Macaca mulatta: one gene and its partners. The protein of the gene in region 1 purifies or fractionates together with the protein of each later gene. This does not show direct contact. Links are inferred from orthologs where the notes say so. Each region holds a gene or a part of one and is shown in the gene's direction. Other genes may lie near its edges.

Region 1 (3,500 bases):
AGCAGCTCTTCCTTCAGCGTCCAGCCTTGCCCCAAGAGTGGTTAAGAATTTTGGCCTAAAAGGGCAGGAGCTGCTAGAGATAGCCCACTGGCGGCTCTTTCACCAGCTGGCCCTCCCCCATGGTGCTGCTGGATATTGTCTTACAGAATGAGGGGGAGGGGCTGAAGACTAGATGTGAGAACTTTTGTAAACTCAGGCCATAGTAGAGGGAATTGTAATCCAACTTGGTATCCATGCCAGGGAGGAGGAGACTAAAACTGGAGGAGCTGCTGGTTATTTCCTTGAGCTTTCTGACTTCTTGTCTCCGTAGCCTACCGTGAAATATGAGACTCAGCCACGGTTTATCACAGCCACTGGAGGCACCCTGCACATGTACCAGCTGGAAGGGCTGAACTGGCTGCGCTTCTCCTGGGCCCAGGGCACTGATACCATTCTAGCTGATGAGATGGGGCTGGGCAAGACCATACAAACTATTGTCTTCCTCTACTCACTCTATAAGGAGGTGCTGGACTCTAGGACCTTGAAGGGGACCGCTTGGACTGGGGAATTGGGGAGGGGGAAGATGGAGGGGTGTAGCTGGCAGAGGACTGGGGTATACAGCCTCTAGCCTAGACTTATGCTGCCCCATTCTTGACTCCCAGGGCCACACAAAAGGTCCCTTCCTGGTGAGTGCCCCACTCTCTACCATCATTAACTGGGAGCGGGAGTTCCAGATGTGGGCACCCAAATTCTATGTGGTGACATACACGGGTGACAAGGATAGCCGGGCCATCATTCGTGAGAATGAATTCTCCTTTGAGGACAACGCCATCAAAGGGGGCAAGAAAGCTTTTAAGATGAAGGTAAGCCCCTCTACCTCATATCCTCTAAGACCCTCAAATCTGTCACTTCTTTTTCTCAGCCAGGAATTCAGTTTCTCTATTCCCCTCTCTCCTCACCTTTCTCCTCTTCCTCCACCTGTCCTCGTGTCTCTGCACTACCATCCTAGAGATGTGGCAGGTACTCCCAAGGGCGTACATGGATCTGTCAGTACTGGAAATGTGGGCAGAGGTTTAGGGGCCATGGTCTGTAATCCCTGCTTGGAGAACAGAGTAATGGCTCCTATTGGCAGCCACAGTCAGGAAAAGGTGTCTGGAGGTGTAAGTCCATGGTTGTCAGGTGGCAGCTGAATGGGCAATAATTATGTTGGCAGAGGGAGGCACAGGTGAAGTTCCACGTTCTCCTGACATCATATGAGCTGATCACCATTGATCAGGCAGCACTCGGTTCTATCCGCTGGGCCTGTCTTGTGGTAGATGAGGCCCATCGACTCAAGAACAACCAGTCCAAGGTGAGTGAGGTTCTCAGACCTCAAAAACTTGAAATGGTGGGCTCCTACTTGCCCTGGTCCTAAAAAAACCCAAACAAAGTTCTGGGGATTTTCTGTAGTCTGAGAGGACGGCCAGGTTGGAGGAGGGAGAGGGCCAAAGATTTGGGGCCTCTGATCCTGAGTGAAATGGGAGCTGGGACAGAGAAAGGCTGATGCTGTGGGTCGGTCATTTGCCACTAATAAGCCCATTCTCCTGCCTTGCCTTGCCCCATCTTTTAGTTTTTCAGGGTTCTCAATGGTTACAAGATAGATCATAAGTTGCTGCTGACAGGAACCCCATTGCAGAATAATCTGGAGGAGCTCTTCCATCTCCTGAACTTCCTCACCCCAGAGAGATTTAAGTAAGTGGTTCCCTAAGGGTAGTTGGCAGAGATGAGAGGTGGAGCAGATAAAATGAACCGGTAGAGGATTAATCTGAGGTGGTAAGCCTGAGATCAGCGGCAAATAACTTGCCAACCTGTTAATTTTCTTCTCTCCTGGCTCTTAGCAACTTGGAGGGCTTCCTGGAGGAGTTTGCTGACATATCCAAAGAGGACCAGATCAAGAAACTGCATGATTTGCTGGGGCCACATATGCTACGGAGGCTCAAGGCAGATGTCTTTAAGAACATGCCAGCCAAGACAGAGCTCATCGTTCGGGTGGAGCTAAGCCCCATGCAGAAGTAAGATGCAAGACAAGCTGCCTGGAGTAGGGGTTGGGGATTGATGGGAGCATTCCAAGTGCAATATCATAATTGCTTCTTTTTTTTATGTTTCTTTTACACCCCTTTCCTGGCCTTTAGGAAATACTACAAGTACATCCTGACTCGAAATTTTGAGGCCTTGAATTCACGAGGTGGTGGGAACCAGGTGTCGCTGCTTAATATCATGATGGATCTTAAGAAGTGCTGCAACCATCCATACCTTTTTCCCGTGGCTGCTATGGTAGATACACAGAGCAGGAGCTGATCGAATGTCCGCTCTCAGAAAACATGGGTGGGGAGTAGTGGGGAGGTGGGTATTGAGCCACAAGGGTGGAGTGCGCTGAAAGGCCAGGGACTGGGTCTCTGAGAGCAGTAGGAATTGGGAATGTGTGGAAGCTGGATCTGGGCATCTGGCCTTCTAGGCACGGTAAGAATATGGGGAGATGTTTCCAACTGACCCTGTCCTCCTCCTCTCTCCTCCCTTTTCAGGAGTCCCCCAAACTCCCCAGTGGGGCTTATGAGGGTGGGGCACTTATTAAGTCATCTGGGAAGCTCATGCTGCTCCAGAAGATGCTGCGAAAGCTGAAGGAGCAAGGACACCGAGTACTCATCTTCTCGCAGGTGACCTGTGCCCTTAGCTGTCTACATCTGCTTCCTCTTCCCTCTCCTCGTCCTCCACACTTTAATTTCTTACCGTCTTCCTGTGGCTGCTCCAGTGTGACAAATGAGGAGATTCCTCCTGTAAGAGTTTCTTTTTTTTTTTTTTTTTTTTTGAGACAGAGTTTCTCTCTTGTTCCCTGACTGGAGTGCAGGGCCGTGATCTGGGCTCACTGCAACCTCTGCTTCCTGGGTTCAAGTGATTCTCCTGCCTCAGTCTACCGAGTAGCTGGGATTACAGGTGCCCACCTCCATGCCTGGCTAATTTTTTGTATTTTTAGTAGAGATGAGGTTTCACCATGTTGGTCAGGATGGTCTCGATCTCCTGACCTCAGGTGATCTGCCCACCTCGGTCTCCCAAAGTGCTGGGATTACTGTATAGCAAGTTTATTCTTGGCCTCTGATGCCTGTTCTTAAGGTTATTGGAAGTTGAAGTCCAGCTTTAGTTCCTTTTCAGCTGCATGGGGGAAGGGTGAGGGTGAGCCTCCTTAGAGATTGGTATTATTTCTTCATCTTATTGGCAGGTGAGGGTGAAGGCACAGACCCTCTGGAAATGTGATGAAAACTCTGGGTCCACTCTCCAGACAACTGTACATACAATGACACAAATTTGTATGGATTTTCAGGGGGTTCCTAGATTTCCCTGAAACCTTTTCATGGGTCGCAGAGAACCTCTGCCTTAGGAGAAACAATCTTAAATCAAGAGAGTGTGACAAGAGGGCCAGACATGGTAGCTCACACCTGTTATCCCAGCACTTTGGGAGGCTGAGGCAGGAGGATCACTTGAGGTCA
Region 2 (3,500 bases), on another chromosome or scaffold:
GCAGCTCCGTCCGACAGCCCAGCCTGCACATGAGTGCCGCAGCTGCCTCCCGAGACATCACCCTGGTAAGTGGGCCTAGGGTGGGACAGCTGAGACCTGGAGTGACCCACGGCCCAGAGTGGCTGTGCCCTTCCTCCTACCTGGACCCAGCACCTGCTCCAGGTATTCAGGACCCCCGCAGAGGTGCTGTCCCACCTGGACTGGCCTTTCCTATCCATCCCAGGCTCAGCCAGACTGTCCTGAGGGTGCAGGGAGGGCTGTGCTGCCTGGTCCTGCAGCAGGGGATCCTTGAGGCCCTGAGGGAGGGTTGCCGTGCCACAGGTGCAGGAAAGCCACCTTGGCCCAGGTGACCCTGCTATCTCCTGCCTCAGTTCCATGCCATGGACACTCTCCACAAGAACATCTATGACATCTCCAAGGCCATCTCAGCGCTGGTGCCACAGGGCGGGCCCGTGCTCTGCAGGGATGAGATGGAGGAGTGGTCTGCGTCAGAGGCCAACCTTTTCGAGGAAGCCCTGGAAAAATATGGGAAGGATTTCACGGACATTCAGCAAGATTTTGTGAGTACCGTGGGTGGCGATGTGGGAGTGGCTGACCATGCCCATCTCCAGGTGGGCTGTGGGGGCGTGGGGTCCACGTCCCCCCCTGCCCTGAGGGAGCCTGTCCTGCGCCCTGATTCCCTGTATGGAGCTGCATGAGTTCTGTCTCAGCTGTGCTCGGCCACCACAGTCCTGTCACACTGGTTCAGCAGACGGCGCGGGGGCACTGGTGGGGCCTGGGCATAGAGAGCCACGCTGCTACCACCACTGCGTGATAAGGATAAGGGTTGGCCCAGGTGACGGAGGCCAGGGTGTCCTCACAGAGACTTTCCCTTCCTTGCCACCCCCTCCAGCCCCAGCCTTGGTTTTGCTTTGTTTTTGACTAAGCTGAACCTCTGTTTCCTCATGTCCTTGTTTTCTGGCTCATGTGAGTTTGGCCCAGCAACAGGCCGAGAGGGTCTTCATGGTATGGGGTCTCCCCTTCCCTGTACCTCTACCTCAGGACCCCCATCCTCCCACCGTCAGCCTTCCTAAAATATGTTTAAACTGATCTGTTAGAAGGGCATCCCCACGTGGAGGTGGTGGGACCCCTGACCATCAGCCCTGGGGAGGTGGAGCCTGTGGCAGGGCAGGGAGGAGCCCCAAAGGGCCAGGACATGGCGAGGTTGCTGCTGTCTGATGAAAAGCACCATCCACGCCGCAGCGCACAGGCCAGCGTAGCAGAGACTGGGGGGGCATCTGGAATTCGGAAGAAACAAACATGGGGTTGGGTAGGGTGCCTAGACATGAAGAGGAGGGACAGCAGCCAGCCGTGAGGCAGGAATGCAGCTTTGTGTGGGGGCCTCTGGCCAAGGGGAGAGCTTGGCCAGGCTCGGGAGGAGTCCTTGACTGGGGCAGTGGCCTCTCCAAGGCGGATATGGATTTCTCCAGGCTTAAAATCTAACCAAGATGAGCAGAACATGTTCAGACAAGAGGATGAGGGCTAGAAACAAAATTCACCAACTGGCTCAGATGAGGGCAGAATTTGAGGGAGACCCTGCTGCACATGGTTCCAGCAGAGGAGACCCCAGTGCTGAGTCCACGTGAGCCTAGCGAGGCAGCGCTCGGGGCTGTGGCTGCGGGGCCGAGTCCAGGCGTGGGGTCAGGAGGCTGCAGCTTCGGGGCTGTGTCGAGGGAGCAGGCCCTGCTCTTCCTTCCTGCCAGATGCAGTGGACCAGACTGAGGAACTATCTGAACCCTTATTTAATAAGGTTTCTTAAATCCATGCCACAGGCCGGGCACAGTGGCTCACGCCTGTAATCCCACCACTTTGGGAGGTCGAGGCAGGAGGATCATGAGGTCAGGAGATCAAGACCATCCTGGCCAACATGTGACACAGTAAAACCTGTAAAACCCTGTGTCTACTAAAAATGCAAAAATTGGCTGGGTGTGGTGGCGGCGCCTGTAGTCCGAGCTACTTGGGAGACAGAGGCAGGGGAATCGCTTGAACCTGGGGAGGTGGAGGTTGCTATGAGCCGAGATTGTGCCACTGCACTCCAGCCTGGGTGACAAAAACAAAAATGGCTGAGATGGCCGGTCATGGTGACTCACGCCTGTAATCCCATTTGGGAGGCCGAGGCGGGTGGATCACTTGAGGTCAGGAGTTCGAGACCAGCCTGGCCAACATGGTGAAGCCCCATCTCTACTAAAAATACAAAAATTAGCCAGGCGTGGTGGCACGTATCTGTAGTCCCAGCTACTCAGGAGGCTGAGGCAAGAGAATCGCTTGAACCCAGGAGACAGAGGTTGCAGTGAGCCAAGATCACACTACTGCACGCCAGCCTGGGTGACAGAGAGAGACTCCATCTCAAAAAAAAAAAAAAAAGGCTGAGATGGAGGCTGGGTTGTCAGTGCCACCTCGGCAAGATCTCCACCTTGACCCTGTGTCAGCTCCTCTTCCCCTGGCGTCACTGTGTTTTGGCATCTGGCAGGGGGTACCCACTTCATCAGTTCCCTCTGCACCTGCCTGCCAGCAGGGGCCTGGCCTCAGCGCACCAAGCACACCTTGCCCTCCCACCTCCTGCCCCCTCTGTGGCTTTCTGGCCGCAGCCCTGCCCCTGCCCTCATGATGTGCCTACCTCCTGCCCCTTCCTGCTTGGGTGACACGCCTCCTCCCACCCAGCTCCCGTGGAAGTCTCTGACCAGCATCATTGAGTACTACTACATGTGGAAGACCACCGACAGATACGTGCAGCAGGTAAGCCCGCCTGCCACTCAGTGCCCGGGGCACACCACCTCCGCGTCCTGCGCCCCATCCTCTCCCAGCAGGTGGGCGTGCTGCTGAGTCCCTGGCCCGGCTCTCCTCTCCACTGGCTCTCTCCTCCCCGTTGGCGCTCTCCTTCCCATTGGCGCTCTCCTCCCCATTGGCGCTCTCCTTTCCACTGGGGCTCTCCTCCCCATTGGCGCTCTCCTTTCCACTGGGGCTCTCCTCCCCATTGGCGCTCTCCTTTCCACTGGGGCTCTCCTCCCCATTGGCGCTCTCCTTTCCACTGGGGCTCTCCTCCCCATTGGCGCTCTCCTTTCCACTGGGGCTCTCCTCCCCATTGGCGCTCTCCTTTCCACTGGGGCTCTCCTCCCCATTGGCGCTCTCCTCTCCGTGGCCTCCAGCCTGTCTGCACCACAGCCCCAACCTGGGCCTAGCCCGCTGACCTCTGACCTTCTCTTTTGTTTTAAGAAACGCTTGAAAGCAGCTGAAGCTGAGAGCAAGTTAAAGCAAGTTTATATTCCCAACTAGTAAGTGTGCCCTTACAGCCGTGGTCCTCGTGGCCCTGGGGGCCAGGGAGGGTGGGCACAGGGTGCCGGGGCCAGGCGGGTCCCGAGGAAACTCAGGCTCAGAGGCTGGGAAAGTTAGGGCAGCCCCTGTGAGGGCAGCGCAGGGCTGGGGGGTTCTGGCTGCAGACGCGATGGACGTGTCTCCGTCGT
Region 3 (3,500 bases), on another chromosome or scaffold:
TTTATTTTGTTTTAGGTCAGAGAGGATGAAATGTCTCTGTAGACAGTCTCAGGCTAGGTGGTGCTTCCACCAGGGCCTCCCTCTGCAGGCCTGGTAACAGCAGACCTATGCTGTCTGTGTAAGAGCCTTCTCAGCAGCACACCATCGTTACCCACCAGGCTCCTCACGAAAGGAAATCTTGTCCCAACTGCCTTGGCTGTGCTTGGCAGTGTGCTCTATATAAGGAGAACAGGATGTATTTTACACTTGAGACCTGCTATCCTAGAGTACAACAACAACACTTCTAAGTGCTCTTAATATTAAGCTAATGGAAAACATACTGTTTATTCACCATCAAAGTCTGTTTTTCTTCTCTCCTGCCCTCCCCAATCATCACGAACTCCAAACCTCTAGAACACACAGAGCGTTTCCTGCACCATCTATCCTCCAGTCTGTCTCAAGATGGACAACTACATGGTTAGTTAGCTAGAGGAGGACTTGGAAAAGCTAGGCACTTACCACATAAACCATAAAATCCCCAGACTGCACAAACCAAATTTTCCTCTTCTCAAAAAAATCTCAGTGCTAGAAATGTTTTGTTGACTATCAGATTCATTTTATTAGTGTGAAAAGTCACTTGTCTTCACCAGAGTGCAACAAAGTGCAATAAAATGGTGAAGGTGGGCCAGGGTTTCTGGGTGCTGGTATTATTGGAATGCTGGTTCTTTCCTTGTCATGTAATGGCCAAAGTTATTTGGACCCCAGAAGTCTAATCTTTATCTTCCATTGCTTTGTATTGTGAGAAGCCACATCTGTACAGGGTTTCCCGTTGACAGGACTCTAGCATATGGCCCAGGTCAGTCCAGAAATGCCCAAGGTTCCCCTGTCACTGAAGGCTCTATCATAAATATAGCATGGGAAGAGGGGGGCAGAGGGACAGAGAAAGCAGAATGGGACTCTGTCCCATAAAAAACGGTTCACAAATCTACTCATTTCCTATCAGCATTTTGTTTTTTGCTTGGGTTTGTCTATAAAGTAAAGTTAATGTATGCATGTAAACCAGCCTTGCAGATAACGCCCACCCCCATGTTTCCAGGCTACCCACAATATTACCAGTTTTCCCCTTGCTGTTTACCCATCTCTTTCCACAAAACAATAATCAAACAACAAATAAACAAGCAAATGAACCAAAGACCACCTCTCCCCATTCCTAAAACAAACCCTTTCCCTTTTGTCAAAAAGACCGAAATTGAAAACAAAACAGAAACTGTGGGAAATAACTCTCCACTCTTCTTTTGTTTCAGGCCTTGGGCCTGTTAACTATCTGCAAGGCTGTTGTAATGATGTTAATCTGTTTTAATGGAATTGAAATGTGATATCCTGTGGTTTATGATGCACGTTGTTTGTAGCTGTAGTGCTTGATTTTGGGTTTCTTTCACAGATAAACTTCTGCACTGGAGGGGCCTCTCCTCCCCTCGTTCTGCACATGGAGCTCTAATCCCCACGCCCGGGATGAGTGCAGAATATGCCCCGCAGGGTATTTGTAAGTTGAGCCTTATTTCTTCTACAAATGTCCATGTGTATAGAGATGACAGTTTCTGGAAATTGCCCTTACTTTTTAAGTACTGAACGGAGTTACTTCCAAAATAGATTGTCATATGTATTATTCCATTACTCACTTGGCAGACGCTCCCCACTCCACTCAGCCCCAGAGGGACTTCTTGCCTCCCCTTTTTCTTTCCTCACTGGAGGCTGGGAGCTGAAAGTAGCTAATCCCTGTGGGTCTTCTCCCCAGGGTCTTGTCTGGCTCCATGGCTAGTGATTGAATATGTCTGTGCCTTTGGAGCCCATTTTATTACTGGACATTCACTCCTGTGGCCTCATTTAGGACTTCGGGTATAGTCCAATGCACACATCTTTAGCCAAGGCCAGAATCAAAAGCAGTCAGTTTAGGGTTATTCCAGAGTTATTCTAATACATATTCCTTATGTATTTACATGTATATTTGTACATAGTATATTTTATATATACATGATCACACATAATTTTGACTTATTTTTCTCCTAGTTTTAGAGGAAAATGCACATCATTTTAGTTAAAATGTGAAGGTTCTACTATCACCACCACCACCACTACCACCACCATCACCACCACCACCACCACCACCACCATCACCATCACCACCAGTACCATCACCACCATCACCACCACCACCACCGCCACCACCACCACTACCACCACCATCACCACCACCACCATTTACTTGTTCAAGCGAGCTTTTATAGTAAGGACCATTTTATGAAACTTAAATTTGTCCATTTATACAAATGTTTTCTGAAAGATACTGTTTTAGAAAGTAATACAGTTTGCTTCTCTGTGTAGGAAGACATGGTATGAATCATGCATGGCTAAAGGGTTGGGGGGTGGGCAGTGATTCCGCCCTAAACACAAAAAAGTAGGTTCAAGAAGAAAAGAAGTGTGACCTCTAATTTTTATTTGAAAGTAAATGAAAAATAACCTGCTGTGGAAAGAAAAGAAAAGAAAAGGAAAAGGGTCATGGAAAGAGAATAACAAAGAGCAAGATGCCAGAGTTAAGGCTCTAAGGGGGACTGTTTTTAGACGGGAGGGAAATGACACTTATCCACCTTGTAAATGGTATCTGAAGAGCAGGGCATGCACCCTGAGACCAGAGTCAAAGCCAGTTGTTTATTTTTGTTAACTCCTAGGTAATCCTAGGTAACAAAGAGTTATTGTGTGAATTTCATAAGCCCTCAGGTCCTGAGGGCTGGGTGGTTCAGGGGTTAAAAGCACCTCATCTGCCCCCCTTCCCCAAGCTGGGCCTAAGCCTGGGTTAGGTCACAGATTGCAGAGGGTTTAGGGGGTTGGACTCAACGGTTTCTAGTCCCTGCATGCTGGCTGGGTGGGGAGAGCTCTCCTGTTGCTGGGGGCATCTGGGGCCTGCATGGGGCTGTGGGAACGGAGCCACTTTTGGAGGGAAGGGAAAGAAGGCAGTTGAGCAGTTGAGAGGAGGGTGGAGTTGAGAGGCCAAGGGCTGCTGGCCAGGGAAACATAGTTCTCTGTCTTCAGCCTGGTCTTCCTGAGGGCTGGGAGTTTGATTTGACTGGTAGGAAAGTCTGAGCTTGATAAGGAACTCCTGTCCTCTCCCACCTTCCCACAAAGGGAGGGTACATAGTTTACTGGTGCCCCTGCCGGCAGGACCAGTTTAGGAGTGACCAGAACAAGGTATGTGGAAATGGGTTGTGGGGGTCCAGAAAGCTCTAGAACAAATCTGATGCCCATTCCACTTGGCGGCATTAACCTGCTGCCCCCGGCTTCTAGAGCTCATAGCACTTCCCTTTGGCCGCCCTGCTGTGTGCCAGTCACCCCTGCTCTTTCACTACAGCCTCCTTTTGGCCTGGGTTAAGGCCTGGACTGGGACCTTCCTCTGGAAGCCGTGCGGGGTGTGTAATGTGGTTAGTCATTACCCTCAGTAATTAATCACCCCTGGTAGTAATGAAAAT
Region 4 (3,159 bases), on another chromosome or scaffold:
CAGCCTGACGGCCCACGGGGCTCCCGAGCGCCCCCTGGCGGCCACCACCGCTGCGCCTCAGCCTCAGCCTCAGCCTCAGCCTCAGCCTCAGCCTCAGCCTCCACCCCAGCCCGAAACTAGATCAGTCCCGGAGCCGGAGCCCGAGCCCGAACGTGAGGCAACCCCGACCCCAGCTCCTGTCGCTCCCGAGGAGCCCCCAGCACCTCCAGAGTTCCGCTGCCAAGTGTGCGGCCAGAGCTTTACACAGTCTTGGTTTCTCAAGGGCCACATGCGTAAGCACAAGGCCTCCTTCGATCATGCGTGTCCGGTGTGCGGCCGCTGCTTCAAGGAGCCCTGGTTCCTTAAGAACCACATGAAGGTGCACGCCAGCAAGCTGGGCCCACTGCGTGCCCCGGGGCCTGGCTCCGGGCCTGCCCGGGCCCCGCAGCCTCCTGACCTCGGCCTGCTGGCCTATGAGCCGTTGGGCCCAGCGCTCCTCTTGGCCCCGGCGCCCACCCCGGCCGAGCGCCGTGAGCCCCCGAGCCTCTTGGGCTACCTGAGCCTGCGGGCTGGCGAGAGCCGGCCCAACGGCGAGGGTGCTGAGCCCGGGCCCGGCCGCAGCTTCGGAGGCTTCCGCCCGCTGTCCTCTGCTCTCCCGGCCCGGGCTCGCCGGCACCGTGCGGAGGAGCCGGAGGAAGAAGAGGAGGTGGTGGAGGCCGAGGAGGAGACCTGGGCCCGGGGCAGGTCGCTGGGCCCTCTGGCTTCCCTGCATCCGCGCCCGGGTGAGGGACCGGGGCACTCTGCCCCTTCTGCTGGGGCCCCGGCAAGATCGACCACCACGCAGGGTATGTAGGGACCCTCCGCTCTCCGGGTACGCCGCGTCCTCCTCTGACTCTTACGCCGCCACTCCCCCATAGCTTCCTTTTTAAAATAACTTATCTTTTATTTCTTCTGAGTTTTTTTTTTTTTTTTTTTTTTTTTTTTTCTGGAGGCTTTGCCATCATTTGAGAACACTTGACTCTTTAGTCACAACAAATCTAACCCCTCAGACTTTTGTTTCCTTCTGGACTCCGAGGGGAAGCAGCCCTATGGGGTGGGTGTGGGGTGGGTATGGGGTGGGTGTGGGGTGGGTGCACGGGACCTGGACAGAGTGTAGGCCCCCGCTGACTTCCTCTTAATATATGTGTTGCAGAAGAGAATGGGCTGTTGGTAGGAGGGACCCGGCCTGAAGGGGGCCGGGGCGCCACCGGCAAGGATTGTCCCTTCTGCGGAAAATCTTTCCGCTCAGCACATCACCTCAAAGTGCATCTGCGAGTGCACACAGGTGAGGGAGGCAGCTTCCGGCGTGGAGAGGGGACTAGGGGGCGGGCAGAAAGGCGAGGGCTACCGAAACACCGGGAGGTGAAGTTTGTTCCGAAGCCTTCAGTTTGGCTGGATGAGATCACTTGGGAAATGAGGCTCCTTTATTAAATCAAAGTGGGTGGGAGACGCAGTGCCCTTTCTTGGTTCTGAGAATGAGGTCTCTAAATTGGGCGAAATTCGGGTGGGTGCGTGCAGTGATCGTGACCCCGTAACCCTTTTGCACCCACTTTCTCCAGGCGAGCGGCCCTACAAGTGTCCGCACTGTGACTACGCGGGCACCCAGTCCGGCTCGCTCAAGTATCACCTACAGCGCCACCACCGGGAGCAGAGGAGCGGGGCTGGCCCCGGGCCACCCCCGGAACCACCGCCTCCTTCCCAGCGGGGTTCAGCCCCGCAATCTGGAGCCAAGCCGTCTCCACAGCCTGCGACCTGGGTGGAGGGTGCCTCAAGCCCCCGGCCTCCTTCTAGCGGTGCTGGGCCGGGGTCCCGTCGGAAGCCCGCCAGCCCTGGGAGGACCCTGCGCAACGGGCGAGGTGGTGAGGCCGAACCCCTGGACCTGTCCTTGCGGGCAGGGCCGGGAGGCGAGGCCGGGCCGGGGGGTGCCCTCCACCGCTGCCTCTTCTGCCCTTTCGCCACTGGAGCCCCAGAGCTCATGGCCTTGCACCTTCAAGTGCACCACAGCCGCCGGGCTAGGGGCCGCCGGCCACCCCAGGCTGACGCGTCCTCGCCCTATGCCCGAGTACCATCAGGAGAGACCCCTCCCAGTCCTTCGCAGGAAGGGGAGGAGGGCTCCGGGCTGTCCAGACCCGGAGAGGCAGGGCTAGGGGGGCAAGAACGGTAGTGAGCCCTCAGGGGCGATTAGCTTAGTGAGCTTACCCCGCCGGAGCGGGGGAGCGCTAGAGGTAGTTGGGTAGAGAAGCCAGCAGGGGGCAGCGTGGGACCCATATCCCAGCCCCAGGCGGACCAGAGGTGGAAGGGGCGGCGGGCGTAGGAGGGTGGGCTGGCGGTACCCACCCAGCCCAAGGGAGTCACAGTGCCTTAGAAGTGGCAGAGGTGAGGGTCAAAGAACGGGGTCCCTGGGCTGGCAGAGAGGGTTTGTGTCCCTGTTGAGGAGCCACTCTGCCAGTCTTTGCTGGTCCATAGGCGTGAGAGTTTATTTTTGTACAAGGGGTGAGGGTGGGGAGCACTGTACCCTTCTAGCCCCATCAGGGGCTCTGTAGACGTCGCTATTTTTGGTACGATTCCTGTCATCCCTGTTGCAGAGTCGTGTCCCCAATAAACAGGTGTCGTGAGGCACAGGGCCCTGTGTCTGTCTGCCTACCTATGTCCTGCTCCTCTCTTTGGGCCCTTCTGTCAGGAAATAGTCACCTCTTCAGACATTTAGTTATCACCCAAAGAGTTTGATAAGAAATGCGGAATATTAGGTTTCACCCCCAGGTTTCAATGCAGCAGCTCTGATGGGGTCCAAGAATCAGCATTTAACAAATAGCCAATCAAGTTCTCACACACTGTGGCCTGAGGGCCTCATTTTGAGAACTGCTGGACTGTGCTGCATCCCAGTTTGTCTGTGACCAGTTCAGCCTCAAGGAGTAGGTGCAGTGTGGGAGAAGGAGCTTCAGAGAGTGGAGCCTCTGGGAGCCACTGTGGAGGAGACACATTCTCCCAGGCTCACACACAGTCAGCTCTGGGCCTGGGAAGGGTACAGGGGACCTTCCAGTCTTGGTTTTATTTTCTGTGTTCTAGTTAAGGGCTGGTTGAGGGAAAGTGCTCAAGTTATTTATCACCTTAATCCAGAGGACTACTCTAGCTCCTTGGAGG
Region 5 (4,149 bases), on another chromosome or scaffold:
GGCGCAACATTGAGGGATTGGTAGGTGCCGGGCTTTGTGACCTCACTGGGGCCCCTCTTCTCTGACACTTGGTCGGAAACAGACTTCCCAAAAGGCGGTTGTGTTGCGGGGCGTGGGGGGTAAGGACTCGGAGGGAAAGGAGTGGCCCCGTTGGTCACCGGTGCCACGCTGGCTCTCCTGCTCGAGTTTTGGGCCTTGTTTGCAAACGTTGACTTCATAAACCTCCCACATCCGAAGTAGGACCCATAAAAACGATATTTAAAAAAACCTTGGACACTGAGGTGTAGGGGCAGGAAAGGGTTAATCGTCAGGGTGCTGAGGGAGAGTTGAATTGCTCACTTGTGGGCTCGGAGTCCCAAAGAGCAAACAGCCACTGTTTTCTTCTCAAACATTCTCACCTCCTCTGGGGTCCGCAGACCTTACAAAGACGGGCTTTGTTGCCAGGTAGGACTGCCAGCAGCGTTCTTCCTCTGGCCTGTGGGGAGGGCAGGGGCTGGTGTTGCCAGCCTGGGCAAGGCTGACAGCTCAGGCTTGACCTGGTGTCATTGGGGCCGGGGCCTTAAACTGGGACCTTCAGGGTTTGGGGTCACAGGGATAGCGGCACTCACGGGGACCCCTGAAGTCCTGTTCTGAGCTGGCTGCACCTGTATTCAGCTTTTCTTCTCTTTCTTCTGTGGAGAATTTCAGGAGTGCCGAGATCCCCAGATCTGGGCTTTTTGGTGCCCCTCCCTCTCCCCCATGGACCCTTTTGCAGAACCCCAGCTCCCCTCCTGCCATTTGCATCCAAGATGGACTCTCCGCTGCTGCCGCTGCTCCTCCGGCTTCCTTGTCATCATCCCTCACGCCCTGCAGCCCTGCCTCCTGCTCACGGGTTGCCAAGCCGCGGCCTGGCCGGTGGTGGCAGTGGCGGAGTTAGACAAAGCCCCCGCCTCCCCCGCCCCAGAGCCCCCCAGGCGCCCCAAGTGGCGGGAAGGCCGCCAGCTCCCCAGGCCCCGGCGCTCTTTGTCTGGCGTGGGGGCGGGGAGCCGCGCCTGGCCCCAGGAGCTTCCTGGCCTCTGCCAACCCCTCGCTCCTGCACACTGCGCTCATTGTCTGAGATGCGCCGAGACGGCCTGCGCTGACGTGGTCCCTGTGTCCCGGTCCCTGTGTCTGCAGGAAGGAGTGACCATGAGTGGAACTCGGGGCATTTCCGCCATCTCTCTCCAGGACTAGACACCCCCCACTCAACCCTGAACAAGGGACTGGCCTGGACAGAGCATTGGAGTCACCGAGCTATTGCTCCTTGTCCCCCCAGCCAAAATGGGACAATTTCTCATTCCTCCTTCCTCTCAGCCCCGCAAAACCTAACCCCAGTATCATCAAATAGTAGGGTCTGGAGCCTGTAGACCTTCTCTTGGGAAGCACTGCCTCTAACAAATGGAGAAACTGAGGACTGGAGGGCGGGGGGCCTGTCTGAGGTCACACAGCCAGGAGTGGCACAGCTGGGGCTGGCGCCAAGTCCAGTGGGGAGGACAGAAAAGGAGAGGTGAGGAGCAGTGGGCAAAGCAGTTGGGGAAGAGGACGGGGGCACACCGAGTTGATTCGAGGGTGCGTGGGAAGTGGCTAGCGCCCCTCCTGCCAGGCTGCTGGGATCTTGCAAACACCCAGGGTGCTGTGCTCTATGGTCCCTCCCAGAGACTGGCCCTCGAGGCCAGAGAGGTGTAGCTACCAGGATCGAAACCCAGGTCTCTGCCAGCAGAGCCTGTGTTCCCCATGCCACGCTTGCTGCCACATCAGAAGCTCAGGAAACTGGGGTTTGGCTGATGTGGTGAGGGGGCGCTGGGGGACATCGCCCTGCCCAATTCCTGCAGTGGCCGTGGACGTGCCGGATATCGCGGGCGTAGTGCTTCCCCATCCCAAGCCGCCCATCCCTGTAGCACACGTGTCTCGTCATCCCCATGTGGGAGGCATGGAAACTGAGGCTCGGAGTGGCATGGTGCTTTGCCCAGTTCAGGATCCAAGTCCACGTTTCCAGGTCCAGCCCAAGCTGGAGCATAACCCTGGGCTGCAGTGGTGGCATCCAGGGCTGGCCTGAGACTCAGGGAGACAACTCGGGACTGTCCCCGCTCCCGGATGCTCCTGGACAGAGGGGCAGGTGCTGAGGTAGCTGGCTCCCTGCATGGAGGGGCAGGTGCTATGCTGTGTGCCCTGGGGCAACTCCCTCAGGTCCATGTCTCTAAATAGAGGGGCCTGGAGCCAGGGTTCTCCAGGGCTCCTCCCGGCTCCCCCAGCCTGAGGCCCTGAACTTCCTTCCTCCTCTGCCCCTCCCCTCACCCACACCAAGTGAGCAGCTGGTGGGTTTGGCCAGCCTGGCACCAGCTGTCCATCCCCGAGGCCAAGTCTGCAGCGCCCGCTGTGTGTGTGAGAGAGAGACCGTGTGGCTCTGGGGGCGGCAGGCGGGCAGCTGCCGAGGAGGACTAGGTAAATTCTCCATGGTTACCGCTGTTTGTCATTCTGCAGGATATCCTTTACCCGCTAATGGCCACTGGGACGCCATTGCGGGGCCGCGTGCTCCCAGCCTCAGACTCCCCTCCCAGATCCAGGAGGCTGCGTTCTGGGCTGGGCCCTGCTTGGTCACTGACTGCAGCCCTGGACAGGCCCCAATGTTGCATCCCATATGTGGGGCCTCAACCCTCCTCTCTTGGAATGCAGAGCCGTTGGGACATAGACTGCCAAGAGTCTGGTCCCCCTTTGGGGAGGGGGAGACAGGCACAGAGAGGTTGAGGGGCTTTATCTGGGGCACACAGAGGCCGTGGTGTTCTCTAGATTCCTAATTTGATGTCCAGCATGCCTGTCTCCAGCCAGGGTTGGGTCTCAAATACTCTAAGGCCTTCCCATCTTCCCCGTCATTGAGCACAGCAGAGATTTCGGTGCATAGGACAAAAAGGCTTGGAAGCTCCGCTGGTTTGGACCAGCCTCCATGGCAGTGGGCTCTTGTGGTATGATGTGGCCTCTAGGTTTTCATCCTCTGGGGCCAGGACACAGGGAGAGGGGATGGGCAGGGATGAGGCCAGGAGTGGCAGTAATTTTATCTTTGGGAGCAGCCCTGCTGCTTGGAAGGTTCTGGTTGGACAGGACGGAGCTCTGTGAGGACCAGCAGCTGCTACAGAGCTGGGGATGGCCGAGTGCCTTGTAGCTACATTTCATTATCCGTCTTCTACACTGGTCAGACTAGAGGTGGAGAGCAGGGTTCTCTATCCTGCTACAGTTGGTGGTGTGGGTCCTGGGCAAGGGCCATTGCAGGACCTGGAGTCCTTGCCTTGGTACAACTGGCTGAGCTGACTCCTGGCCTCTCTCTCCCCACCCCACAGCTGGGAGTGTCCACTCTCCTTCCACCAGCATGGCGTCTTCACAGTACCGCCAGCTGCTCAGTGACTACGGGCCACCATCCCTAGGCTACACCCAGGTATGGCAATGGGGGTGATGGCATGGTGGGAGGGCTGGGGGGAGACATGCTCCCCACCATCAGAGGAGAGAAGCTGGTGGAAGAGACGAAGGAGCAGAAAGTATGGGACAGAGCTTTCTCAGCCCAAGGCCCTGACTGGGCTCCGGCTCAGAACACATCAGAATGGAGGGCACTGGGGACTGTGTTTCGCAGGGACGTGTGAGGTGGAGCGGACAGGAGAGCACCAGGAAGGGGCAGCAGCCCGAGCTGCGCTGCGGCCCCCACCCCACGCGCTCCTCTGGTGGGTCTCCTCACTTCTCTTTCCTGGGCAAGTGAGGCCTGGCCTTGACCCTGGCTCTCCAAGCTGGGACAGAAAACGGCCGGTTCCCACTTGCTCTCCACGGGCGTGGGCCCAGCAGAGAGGAGGTGGCCTTGTCTCGAGAGCCAAGGTGCCTCTTGTTGAGGGCCAGTGTTTGAGAGTGTGGCCCAGGCGAGGCCGCTGCCTGGTTCCACCACTTTCCAGACTGTGACCCCCACTTGGTAACTGCCCAAGACCTGGGCTCCTCATCAGCCCAAGGGTGATCCTAGTACCCCCAGCCCAGGCTGGGGAACAGCAGGAATGGGGTAGCCACCATGTCAGCTGCACCCCACATCTCCAAGGGATGAGCTGCCCTGTCGAAGGTCCCAGCGGGAAGATGCTCTCCCTGGCTGGGCCCCAGTGCCAG
Region 6 (3,993 bases), on another chromosome or scaffold:
ATGCACCAATGTCTGGGAGTACTTTGGAATGGACTGGCTTCTCTAAAGAAAGTTATTTGTGTTCGTTTGGGGGATAGCCAGCTAAGATTCAACGTTGTTGGTTTTTTTTTGTTTTGTTTCTGTGAGAGTAGGAAGGCCGTGAAAACAGAGGTTGTTTAGAGAATTGGCTTGGGACAATAATCATTTAGAAGCTTTAGGCACATAACCAGCTAAGTGTCCATCCATATCAAGCTGATTGAACAGAATCTCCTCTTTTTGGGGGTGGTGATTGTGAACTGTAGGGCCCTGTTCCCCCATGGACAAAGGAAGCCCCCCACTCCTAAAGGTCCCAGCAGAACAGGCCCTGCATATATAGGGCCTGTCTAGAGCCAGGGCCTCCATCTGGGTGTTGGAGAGTTGGTTCTGCTCAGCCCAGTTTTGGGGTGAACGATGATGCAGTTAGGGTAGCCTAGGAAGGGAGTTTTTCAACCTCTGTCCCCAGCCGGGTCTCTGGCGAGGCGGGAAGCACCCAGGGTCTTCCTGGCCCTAGAGCCTGCAGGCTCCAGGCCGGCCCCTTGGATCTCACCACGAGGAAGGCACCCTGCTGCCTGTACTTATTTGCGTCCAAGAGTTTGCATTGAGATTGGCGCTCGCCTACCAGGTCAGCCCCAGGGGGGGTCCCCAGGGACAGAGGTAGGAAAGGAGGACCTGTCTCGGGGTGGACAGGTGACGGGGTACACTGGGTGGGGCAAGAGGTGCTGGGGAGAGGCTGAGCCCCAGCCCCCACTCTAATTCTCTAACTGCCCCTGGTCCGCATTTGAGCGCAGGCCTCTGCCTCGGCCAGGACCCTGGCTCCAGGGCCCTCCACTTCCAGCGAGGCCCCCCACCCTCCCTCCCACTCTCCTTCCCCTCCCCCTCCCCCTCCCCCTCCCCCTCCCCCCCAATTCCCGCTGGTCCCGCAGCGCTCGGGCCTCCCCGGGCCTCCCCCGGCCCGGCCCACTAGGCTTCGCTAGCCTGGCGCTGGGGGCGGGCACCAGCCCCCACCCCTCGGCGTCCCCTCCCCTTCACTTCCCCCTCCCCCTGTCCCCTCCCTTCCCTCCCTTCCCCCCCGTGGCGAGGCAGCAGCGGAGGCGGCGGCGGCAGCGGCGGTCGAGGCTGAGGCTGAGGAGGTGGCGGCGGCGGCGGGCGGGGCTCGGCTCGGGCTCCGCGGGCGGGCGGGCGGACATGGCGGCCAACATGTACCGGGTCGGAGGTAGGCAGGCTCAGCCCGACCCGGCCCGTGTGGGAGCGGGCTCCGGGACCGGGGGGCCGGGGCGAGCGCACGCCAACTGCCGGGAGCCACTGGCGCCGGGGCTGAGGTCGCAGGGGGCGGGGGCGCCGGGGCCCGCAGAGGGGCCAGGACTCCCCACCCCCACCCCACCCCTCCCCTCCCCCCACGGGGGCTCGCGAGGGGCCGGGGCCACCTTCACCCTCGCACCCCGCCAGGTGTTTAGGGCCAGGCCTCTACTTGGGGGTACGAATTACCAGACACCTCCCTCCACGAAACCCTCATGGTGGTGGGGCCCGTCGAGCCCCCTGAGAAGGTGGCCTTCTCGCGTGGCTTCTAGGCGCTGGAGAGGATGAGGGGACATCCCCTCCCCTGCTTCTTCCCCACTCAGTGGGAGCCTGGGGTGGGGGTGGGGGCGGTGGGGGCCCAGCCAGGGGCCCAGCTGGACAGGCCTGTTTGCGGGCCTGCACCTTGCCGGGGCCCTGCACCTCGCCTTCCTCGGCCCCCCTCCTTTCGTTTCTGGTCCAGCCCCCCACGAATGGGGCTTCGTGGGACCTGGGAACCTCAGCCGGAGGTGGGGAGTTGAGCTCTGCCTGGACGTTTGCTCTGCTGCCTGCCTCCTTCCCAGTCTGCGGAAGAGAGAAATAAGGTCAAACAAACTTTCTCCCTACTCACGACGCCCTCCTCCCTCTTTCCTGGTAAAATAATAATTCAGATAAGTGGCGTGTTTGTATGAGAGACTGGCTCTTCCTTCTCCGCTCATTAGCTGAGCTTCTGATGGATGGTGGTGGGAATGGCCTGGCTAAATGAGGCCACTTTGCAGAAGACAGCGGCGAAAGAGCCACTAAGATAGACAATAACAATGCAGCTGCCTTTGAGATAAACACACAGTGGGAAGTTTCCAGCGAGCCTATCAGATGAGAGGAAAAGCCACACTTGAAAAATGTTATCTTTTTAGTTGAAAGCCTGCAGCAATTTCTTAATCACAAGACATTAAATGGATCTGGATTAAATATGGTAAAAGGGTAAAAAAGATGGTGATATCACCCCCAGGGCACTTTGCCTCTTATAATTGATCCCCCTGACCCGCTTTTTCCCTCATCTTCCCAGGTAGAGCTGTGGAAAAGTTTGTTAGTGTTCTTCCTCTTACCTGTTCTGCTCATCTGATTTTTTTTTTTTTTTTTTTTTTTTTTAAGTAGCGATTGAAATGTAGGTTGGACTGTGAAGCCTTTCTCCATGCTCTGAATGTGTCTTAGGTCAATAGTTTTATGTGAGAAGCAGCCTCCAGGGCAAATTGTATTGGAGGAAAAAGATGTGGAAGTAGTTATAGTACAGAGGACACATGTTTAGTGTGCCCCGACTACCCAGTGATAAGAGGTGTCTTTTTTGTTTATTATTAAAGAAATGACATATTGGGACAGAAGTCTAGGAGAAACTGATGAAACATTAATTGAAATGAAAATGCCAAGAAAATAAAGGTCCGTGAATAGTAGGCACATGAGAGAATATATTAAGGCTGCATTATTATGTTTGCTTTTACCAGTGAATGAATTATGAGCTTAATTTCAAACGTGAATTGCCTAACATAAAAAGTCTTGGATTGACAAATCTGAACTTTCTGTTGAAAATATTAAGTTCTGTACTTCCTTTAATTACAGATTATGTCTACTTTGAGAATTCCTCCAGCAACCCATACCTAATAAGAAGGATAGAAGAACTCAACAAGGTATATACACTGAGTGTTCTTAATTTTAATTTAAAAAATATTTATTTTCCCTTAACGGGTAATTAGGTAAAGGGTGGCCTGGTGCGGAGGCTCATGCCTGCAATCCCAGTAAATTGGGAGGCCTGGTGGGTGGTTTGAGACCAGCCTGTGCAACATAGTGAGACCCCATCTCTATTTTTTTTTTTTTTTTTTTTTTTTTTTTTTGAGACGGAGTCTCGCTCTGTCACCCAGGCTGGAGTGCAGTGGCCGGATCTCAGCTCACTGCAAGCTCCGCTTCCCGGGTTCACGCCATTATCCGGCCTCAGCCTCCCGAGTAGCTGGGACTACAGGCGCCCGCCACCTCGCCCGGCTAGTTTTTTGTTTTGTATTTCTTAATAGAGACGGGGTTTCACCGTGTTAGCCAGGATGGTCTCGATCTCCTGACCTCGTGATCCGCCCGTCTCGGCCTCCCAAAGTGCTGGGATTACAGGCTTGAGCCACCGCGCCCGGCCTATTTTTTTTTTTTAATTAATATAAAAAATAAAAATAGGGCTGGGCACGGTGGCTCATGCCTGTAATCTCAGCACTTTGGGAGGCCGAGGTGGTAGGATCACCGGAGGTCAGGAGTTCGAGAACAGCCTGACCAACATGGAGAAACCCCGTCTCTGCTAAAAATACAAAAAAATTAGCCGGGCATGGTGGCACATGCCTATAATCCCAGCCACTTGGGAGGCTGAGGCAGGAGAATCGCTTGAACCCAGGAGGCGGAGGTTGTGGTAAGCCAAGATCGTACCATTGCACTCGAGCCTGGGCAACGAGTGAAATTCCATCTCAAAAAAAAGAAATAATAATAATAAATAAAAATGAATGGGGTAAAGGGCATAAGAGATGGTTTTACTTTCAGTCCCAGACTCTTTGAAAGTTGAGATTTTAGGCCGGGCATGGTGGCTAATGCCTGTAATCCCAGCAATTTGGGAGGCCAAGGCAGGTGGATCACTTGAGGTCAGGAGTTCAAGACCAGCCTGGCCAACATGGTGAAACC
Region 7 (4,115 bases), on another chromosome or scaffold:
CCTCCGGAGAAACCCTGAGAATGGAGAGGAGGCCAGCCGCGTGGCGCGCCCAGCCCTGGAGGCCAGGTCATCAAATTCACAAAGTTGGCCGCAGCCTGGGGAATAGGGGGTGTCCACGGGGGCCGTGGTCCGGCCTTGTCCCCGGGCCACAGACAGGCCCCACAACTCCTCTTGTCCTCGCCGGCTGGAGATCAAACGGCTGACAAGGCAGCTGCGTCCTTCCCAGTCTGACAGGCATTTTCAAGTCCTACCCTGGGCCGAGGAGCGCGGGGGGCGGGGTGTGACTTTCAGGTTGCTGTGATTGTCAGGGGCGCCTCCTGGAGTCACCCACCCGAGTATCTGCGGAGATCTGGCCACACCTACTCCTGGGCCGGCAAGTCCAAGTCCCTCTCCCACGTGGAGCGCCCGGGCCCCTTACCCTCTCGCTTGCCATAGACCCGGTTTAGGGGGTGGGGCCGTGTTTGACCCCTAGGAGTTAATGGGGGTAAGGTGAGGGGAGGGGACAGAGATTTGAGTGAAAATCCTTTTCCAAATGGGACTCAAACAAGGTCTCAAACACTTCTCAGCCCCTCACGTGTTCTTGATTCTGTTCTTTTAGTGTCGTTTATTTTGTCTTCCTCACCCTCCCAGAGTCTGTAATACCAGGATTTATATGGAGACACTTTTTGGAAGTTGAACTCCAACATCCACCACCCCGCCCCCGCCCGCGACCATAAAACAAAAGTAAAAACTTCCAAGCGACTTTTCCACGGAAACGAAGCAATTCTTACTGTCCCCCAACTCCCATGTCGACCCCAACCCTTTTCCACAGTCCACGCCCCCACCCCCAAAGTCCAAGTCCGAAAGAGCTTTTGGGCGGGTGGAGACTTGTATTGATTCAATTTAGTTCACTCACACAGTACCCCGGCCCCCTTCTCAGGGGGTCCTGCTCCCAGGAGGGAGGCGATATAAGGACGATTTTTCTTTTATTTTAAAATACGCTGCCCAGTGTCCCCCCCCCCCAACCCCCTCCTGCTTTTGCGCAGCCGGGGCTGGGGGGAGATGAGGAGCGCACAAAAACGCGGTTTGCACGTGTGTCCGGCTTGGGCTGCGGGTGTGCGCAACCGGCGACTGTGTGTGTGTATGTGAGTGTGTGCGCGCGCGCGAGTGTGTCTCTGTGTGTGCTTTCTTGTTCTCTTACAGGGTACAATGTTAAAAAGCCACCGCTAGTCGCCCCCAGTGCTCCGACTCTCTGGGTCTTTTTGTCTCTAGTGCAGATTAAACGTCACGTCCGCACTTGAACTTGAATTTTATCCCATTGTACAGAGGCAGCCCCAGCCATAGAGAGACCGAGAGCTCCCAGAGAACCCGGACTCCGCCATCTTCACGTTGCAATCTATAGCTCCCAGTCTGCGCCCGCACCGACCCAGGCGCACTGGGCGAGCCGCCCCTCCGCCCCGCTCCCCCCGGGCCCGCGGCGCCAGGGGAGCGCTGGGGAGCGCTCGCGGGGACTCGGCAGCCCCTCCGGCCGGCGCCAGCCTGCCAGGTGAACTGGGAAGGAGCCTCTCTTGGTGTCCCCCCAGAGCCTCGGAAGGGTCAGTCTCCGAGAAAAAAAAAACAAAAAACAAAAACAGGCAGCCCGCAGAAAAACCCAGAAACAACCGAACCGGGGCAGTTTTACATTGCTTTGGGTTTTTTGAGGGGGCGGGGTGAGGGGGTACGAGACAAGTCCCCAAGTTTTCTTTGCTTTTTTTTTCCTTTGCTTTTTCTTCTTCTTTTTTTTTTATTTGTTTGCATTTTTTTTCTTTTCCCCTCCTGGTAGAAGTGCGCTTTCCACCTACCAGACCCTGAAAGAAAGTGTCAGGAGCCGGTGCAAAATCCAGTTTAAGTTCAAGAAGACATTTGCAAGTGCAAGAGGCCAAGCAGTTTGAAGAAGTGTAAGAGATTTTTTTTCCTTCGAAAGAATATATTTTTAAAGAAACCAGCCAGTCCGCGGAAAGCAACAGCAGTTTTTTTTTTTTTTTTTTTGCCTCTTTTTCTTATTTTAGATCGAAAGGTTTTTCTTGCTTTTCTTCCCTTTTTTTTCTTTTTGCAAACAAAACAAAAAACAGCATAGAAGAAAGAGCAAAATAAAGAAGAAGAAGAGGAGGAAGAGAGGGCAAGAGAGGAAGGGAAAAAAAACACCAACCCGGGCAGAGGAGGAGGCGCGGCGGCGGCGGCGGCGGCGGCGGCAGCGGCGCGGCGGCAGCGGCAGCGACTCGGACCCCCTCCCCCGGCTCCCCCCATCAGTGCAGCTCTCCGGGCGATGCCAGAATAGATGCCGGGGCAATGTCCCGCCGCAAACAGGGCAACCCGCAGCACTTGTCCCAGAGGGAGCTCATCACCCGTAAGTGTCTGCGGAGTGCGCGCGAGGGGCCGGAGATGGGGCTCCGGGCGCCTGGGGCTGGGGACACGGAGCCCGGAACAGCCGAGCCGGGCCAGGCGCCGGGGCCGCCCGCTGGCTGGCAGAGTCAACGGCGTCGGCCTGCAGCATGGCGGGGGGCGGGGGCCATAGGAAAGTTTCTTTGCAGCCGGGGGAGTTGGGGCGCCGAGCAGCCGGACGCGCCTCGGGCTCGGGGGCCTGCGAGGGGGCGTGCAGGCTAGAGGAGTGTGTGTGTGCGCGCCGAGCCCGGCTGGACGCTCGCCCCTCCGAGCGGCGTGTGTGGCGGCGGCGGCGCTGGTGGCGGGGTTTGGAGAGGAGGGGGAGGGAGCTGGGGGAGCGGAGGGGGAGGGGGGAGCCGGGAAGTGGGGAAAAGTTGGCGAGCGCGTGGGTCCGTGCTGACGGCGCGGGCGGAGGAGAGCGGGGTGCGCTCGGGCTGGGGGAGCCGTAGGGCCAGGGGCGGCCGCCGGCTCCGGGTTCCCGGTCCCTGCGCCCGGCCCAGCAGGGTGCCGGCCACGCCGGTCCTAGGATTCCGCAGCCGCCTTTCTCTCCCCTCCTCCTGCTATTTGCAAAATAATCCAGCTGCGCGGCTGTTTGCAGGGCTCAAGCCCCCCTCCCCACCCCCCATTTCCCCACCTCCGTCTGTCTCCTGGGATGATCTTGTCTTCTTTCCCCCACTTCAAAAAAGGTGGGGGGATTGGGGTTGGTGAAAAATCCCCGCCACGAGAAGAAAAAAAAAAAAAAAAGGTTGTCAGTTAGGAGTGGGAAGAGAGTGATGCACTCGTAAAATAGTAAAAGAAAAAAAAGAAATAAAAGGAGACCCATCAATCTCGTATCCATCTTTCTATCTCAGTATCTTTCATCTTTCCTCTCTAAATAAACAAGGCAGGTCGCAGTGGAAATCCACCGGCTGAAATCGTGTAGATTTCAAGCATGTGGCTGGGCGGGCAAAGTCAGGCAGCGGGGCAAGACAAGCAGCAGCTTCCACCGTCCCTGTTGGGTTTATTCAGCAGAGGGGAAAAGCGAGCGCGAGCGGGCCAGGTACGGTGTTTGCAGGGGAGCCCGCTCCGGGTCCCCGCACACTTGCACCGGGAAGGTGGCATCGCCGCGCTGCCCGCCCGCCGCAGCCCGCGGGGCCGCTTCTTCGCTGCGCGCGAACATTTCCCCGCCGTTCTTTCTCTCGCGGTGCCTGGGTCGCCGTTCCTTTTTTTTTTTTTTTATTGCATTAAAAATAAAACATCCTCTGGGTGCCATCGAGACCGCGGGCAGGTTGTATGTCTGCAATCCGCCGCGCACCTCGCCCGGCTGGGGCCGGGCTGCCCGCGCGGAGCTAGAGAGGGCTGCGCGCCCAGCCGCCGCAGAGGACTGGCTGCGGGGCGGCCGAGAGCCGAATATTTATGTTATATTTTAAAAAATTTAAATAAATAAATAAATATATAAAGGGGTTCTCCCCTCCCCTGAAAATCCAGCATAGGAGCCATCTGCTCGGAGCAATTGCTGTTGCCATCTCTCCTTTGTTACAGCAGATACATTAGTAAGAATTTGTGGATTTATTATGATTATTTTTTTGGGGGGAATAGAAATTAAAGTGGGATTCGCCTTGGGAGAGGGATGCCTCTTTGGAGGGAGGGAAGAGGACTTCTCTTTTATTTTTCGCCATTGTAACATCAAAGAAGACTCGCCGGCTGCATTTAAAACAAAATGTTTTGCAGCCAGA

What was found.
Region 2: the proteins of CHD3 (region 1) and MTA1 purify together in Homo sapiens (affinity purification with western blotting; 7 studies listed by BioGRID and IntAct, with this or other methods). This does not show direct contact. The link is inferred for Macaca mulatta from reciprocal best matches to the Homo sapiens genes CHD3 and MTA1.
Region 3: the proteins of CHD3 (region 1) and BCL11A purify together in Homo sapiens (affinity purification with mass spectrometry; 3 studies listed by BioGRID). This does not show direct contact. The link is inferred for Macaca mulatta from reciprocal best matches to the Homo sapiens genes CHD3 and BCL11A.
Region 4: the proteins of CHD3 (region 1) and ZNF219 purify together in Homo sapiens (affinity purification with mass spectrometry; 3 studies listed by BioGRID and IntAct, counting the BioPlex papers as one, with this or other methods). This does not show direct contact. The link is inferred for Macaca mulatta from reciprocal best matches to the Homo sapiens genes CHD3 and ZNF219.
Region 5: the proteins of CHD3 (region 1) and CDK2AP1 purify together in Homo sapiens (affinity purification with mass spectrometry; 6 studies listed by BioGRID and IntAct, with this or other methods). This does not show direct contact. The link is inferred for Macaca mulatta from reciprocal best matches to the Homo sapiens genes CHD3 and CDK2AP1.
Region 6: the proteins of CHD3 (region 1) and MTA3 purify together in Homo sapiens (affinity purification with mass spectrometry; 4 studies listed by BioGRID and IntAct, with this or other methods). This does not show direct contact. The link is inferred for Macaca mulatta from reciprocal best matches to the Homo sapiens genes CHD3 and MTA3.
Region 7: the proteins of CHD3 (region 1) and BCL11B purify together in Homo sapiens (affinity purification with mass spectrometry; 3 studies listed by BioGRID and IntAct, with this or other methods). This does not show direct contact. The link is inferred for Macaca mulatta from reciprocal best matches to the Homo sapiens genes CHD3 and BCL11B.

The regions. Positions count from the first base shown.
Region 1 is NC_133421.1:9,405,999-9,409,498, forward strand, and holds part of CHD3 (chromodomain-helicase-DNA-binding protein 3), read left to right. Parts: intron 1-310; coding exon 311-502; intron 503-641; coding exon 642-842; intron 843-1,192; coding exon 1,193-1,330; intron 1,331-1,588; coding exon 1,589-1,710; intron 1,711-1,856; coding exon 1,857-2,030; intron 2,031-2,150; coding exon 2,151-2,292; intron 2,293-2,540; coding exon 2,541-2,672; intron 2,673-3,500.
Region 2 is NC_133412.1:178,892,956-178,896,455, forward strand, and holds part of MTA1 (metastasis-associated protein MTA1), read left to right. Parts: coding exon 1-65; intron 66-371; coding exon 372-560; intron 561-2,700; coding exon 2,701-2,775; intron 2,776-3,252; coding exon 3,253-3,311; intron 3,312-3,500. UniProt on the Homo sapiens protein: Transcriptional coregulator which can act as both a transcriptional corepressor and coactivator. Acts as a component of the histone deacetylase NuRD complex which participates in the remodeling of chromatin.
Region 3 is NC_133418.1:64,324,545-64,328,044, forward strand, and holds part of BCL11A (BCL11 transcription factor A), read left to right. Parts: intron 1-1,420; coding exon 1,421-1,522; intron 1,523-3,500. UniProt on the Homo sapiens protein: Transcription factor. Associated with the BAF SWI/SNF chromatin remodeling complex. Binds to the 5'-TGACCA-3' sequence motif in regulatory regions of target genes, including a distal promoter of the HBG1 hemoglobin subunit gamma-1 gene.
Region 4 is NC_133412.1:93,940,087-93,943,245, reverse strand, and holds the end of ZNF219 (zinc finger protein 219), read left to right. Parts: coding exon 1-824; intron 825-1,171; coding exon 1,172-1,303; intron 1,304-1,577; coding exon 1,578-2,182; 3' UTR 2,183-2,659; downstream 2,660-3,159. UniProt on the Homo sapiens protein: Transcriptional regulator. Recognizes and binds 2 copies of the core DNA sequence motif 5'-GGGGG-3'. Binds to the HMGN1 promoter and may repress HMGN1 expression. Regulates SNCA expression in primary cortical neurons.
Region 5 is NC_133416.1:130,672,886-130,677,034, reverse strand, and holds the start of CDK2AP1 (cyclin-dependent kinase 2-associated protein 1), read left to right. Parts: upstream 1-1,349; 5' UTR 1,350-1,416; coding exon 1,417-1,525; intron 1,526-2,306; exon of another isoform or gene 2,307-2,460; intron 2,461-3,350; coding exon 3,351-3,445; intron 3,446-4,149. UniProt on the Homo sapiens protein: Inhibitor of cyclin-dependent kinase CDK2. Also acts as a component of the histone deacetylase NuRD complex which participates in the remodeling of chromatin.
Region 6 is NC_133418.1:82,262,228-82,266,220, reverse strand, and holds the start of MTA3 (metastasis-associated protein MTA3), read left to right. Parts: upstream 1-1,193; 5' UTR 1,194-1,203; coding exon 1,204-1,231; intron 1,232-1,555; exon of another isoform or gene 1,556-1,895; intron 1,896-2,904; coding exon 2,905-2,972; intron 2,973-3,993. UniProt on the Homo sapiens protein: Acts as a component of the histone deacetylase NuRD complex which participates in the remodeling of chromatin.
Region 7 is NC_133412.1:172,590,763-172,594,877, reverse strand, and holds the start of BCL11B (B-cell lymphoma/leukemia 11B), read left to right. Parts: upstream 1-1,315; 5' UTR 1,316-2,307; coding exon 2,308-2,365; intron 2,366-4,115. UniProt on the Homo sapiens protein: Key regulator of both differentiation and survival of T-lymphocytes during thymocyte development in mammals.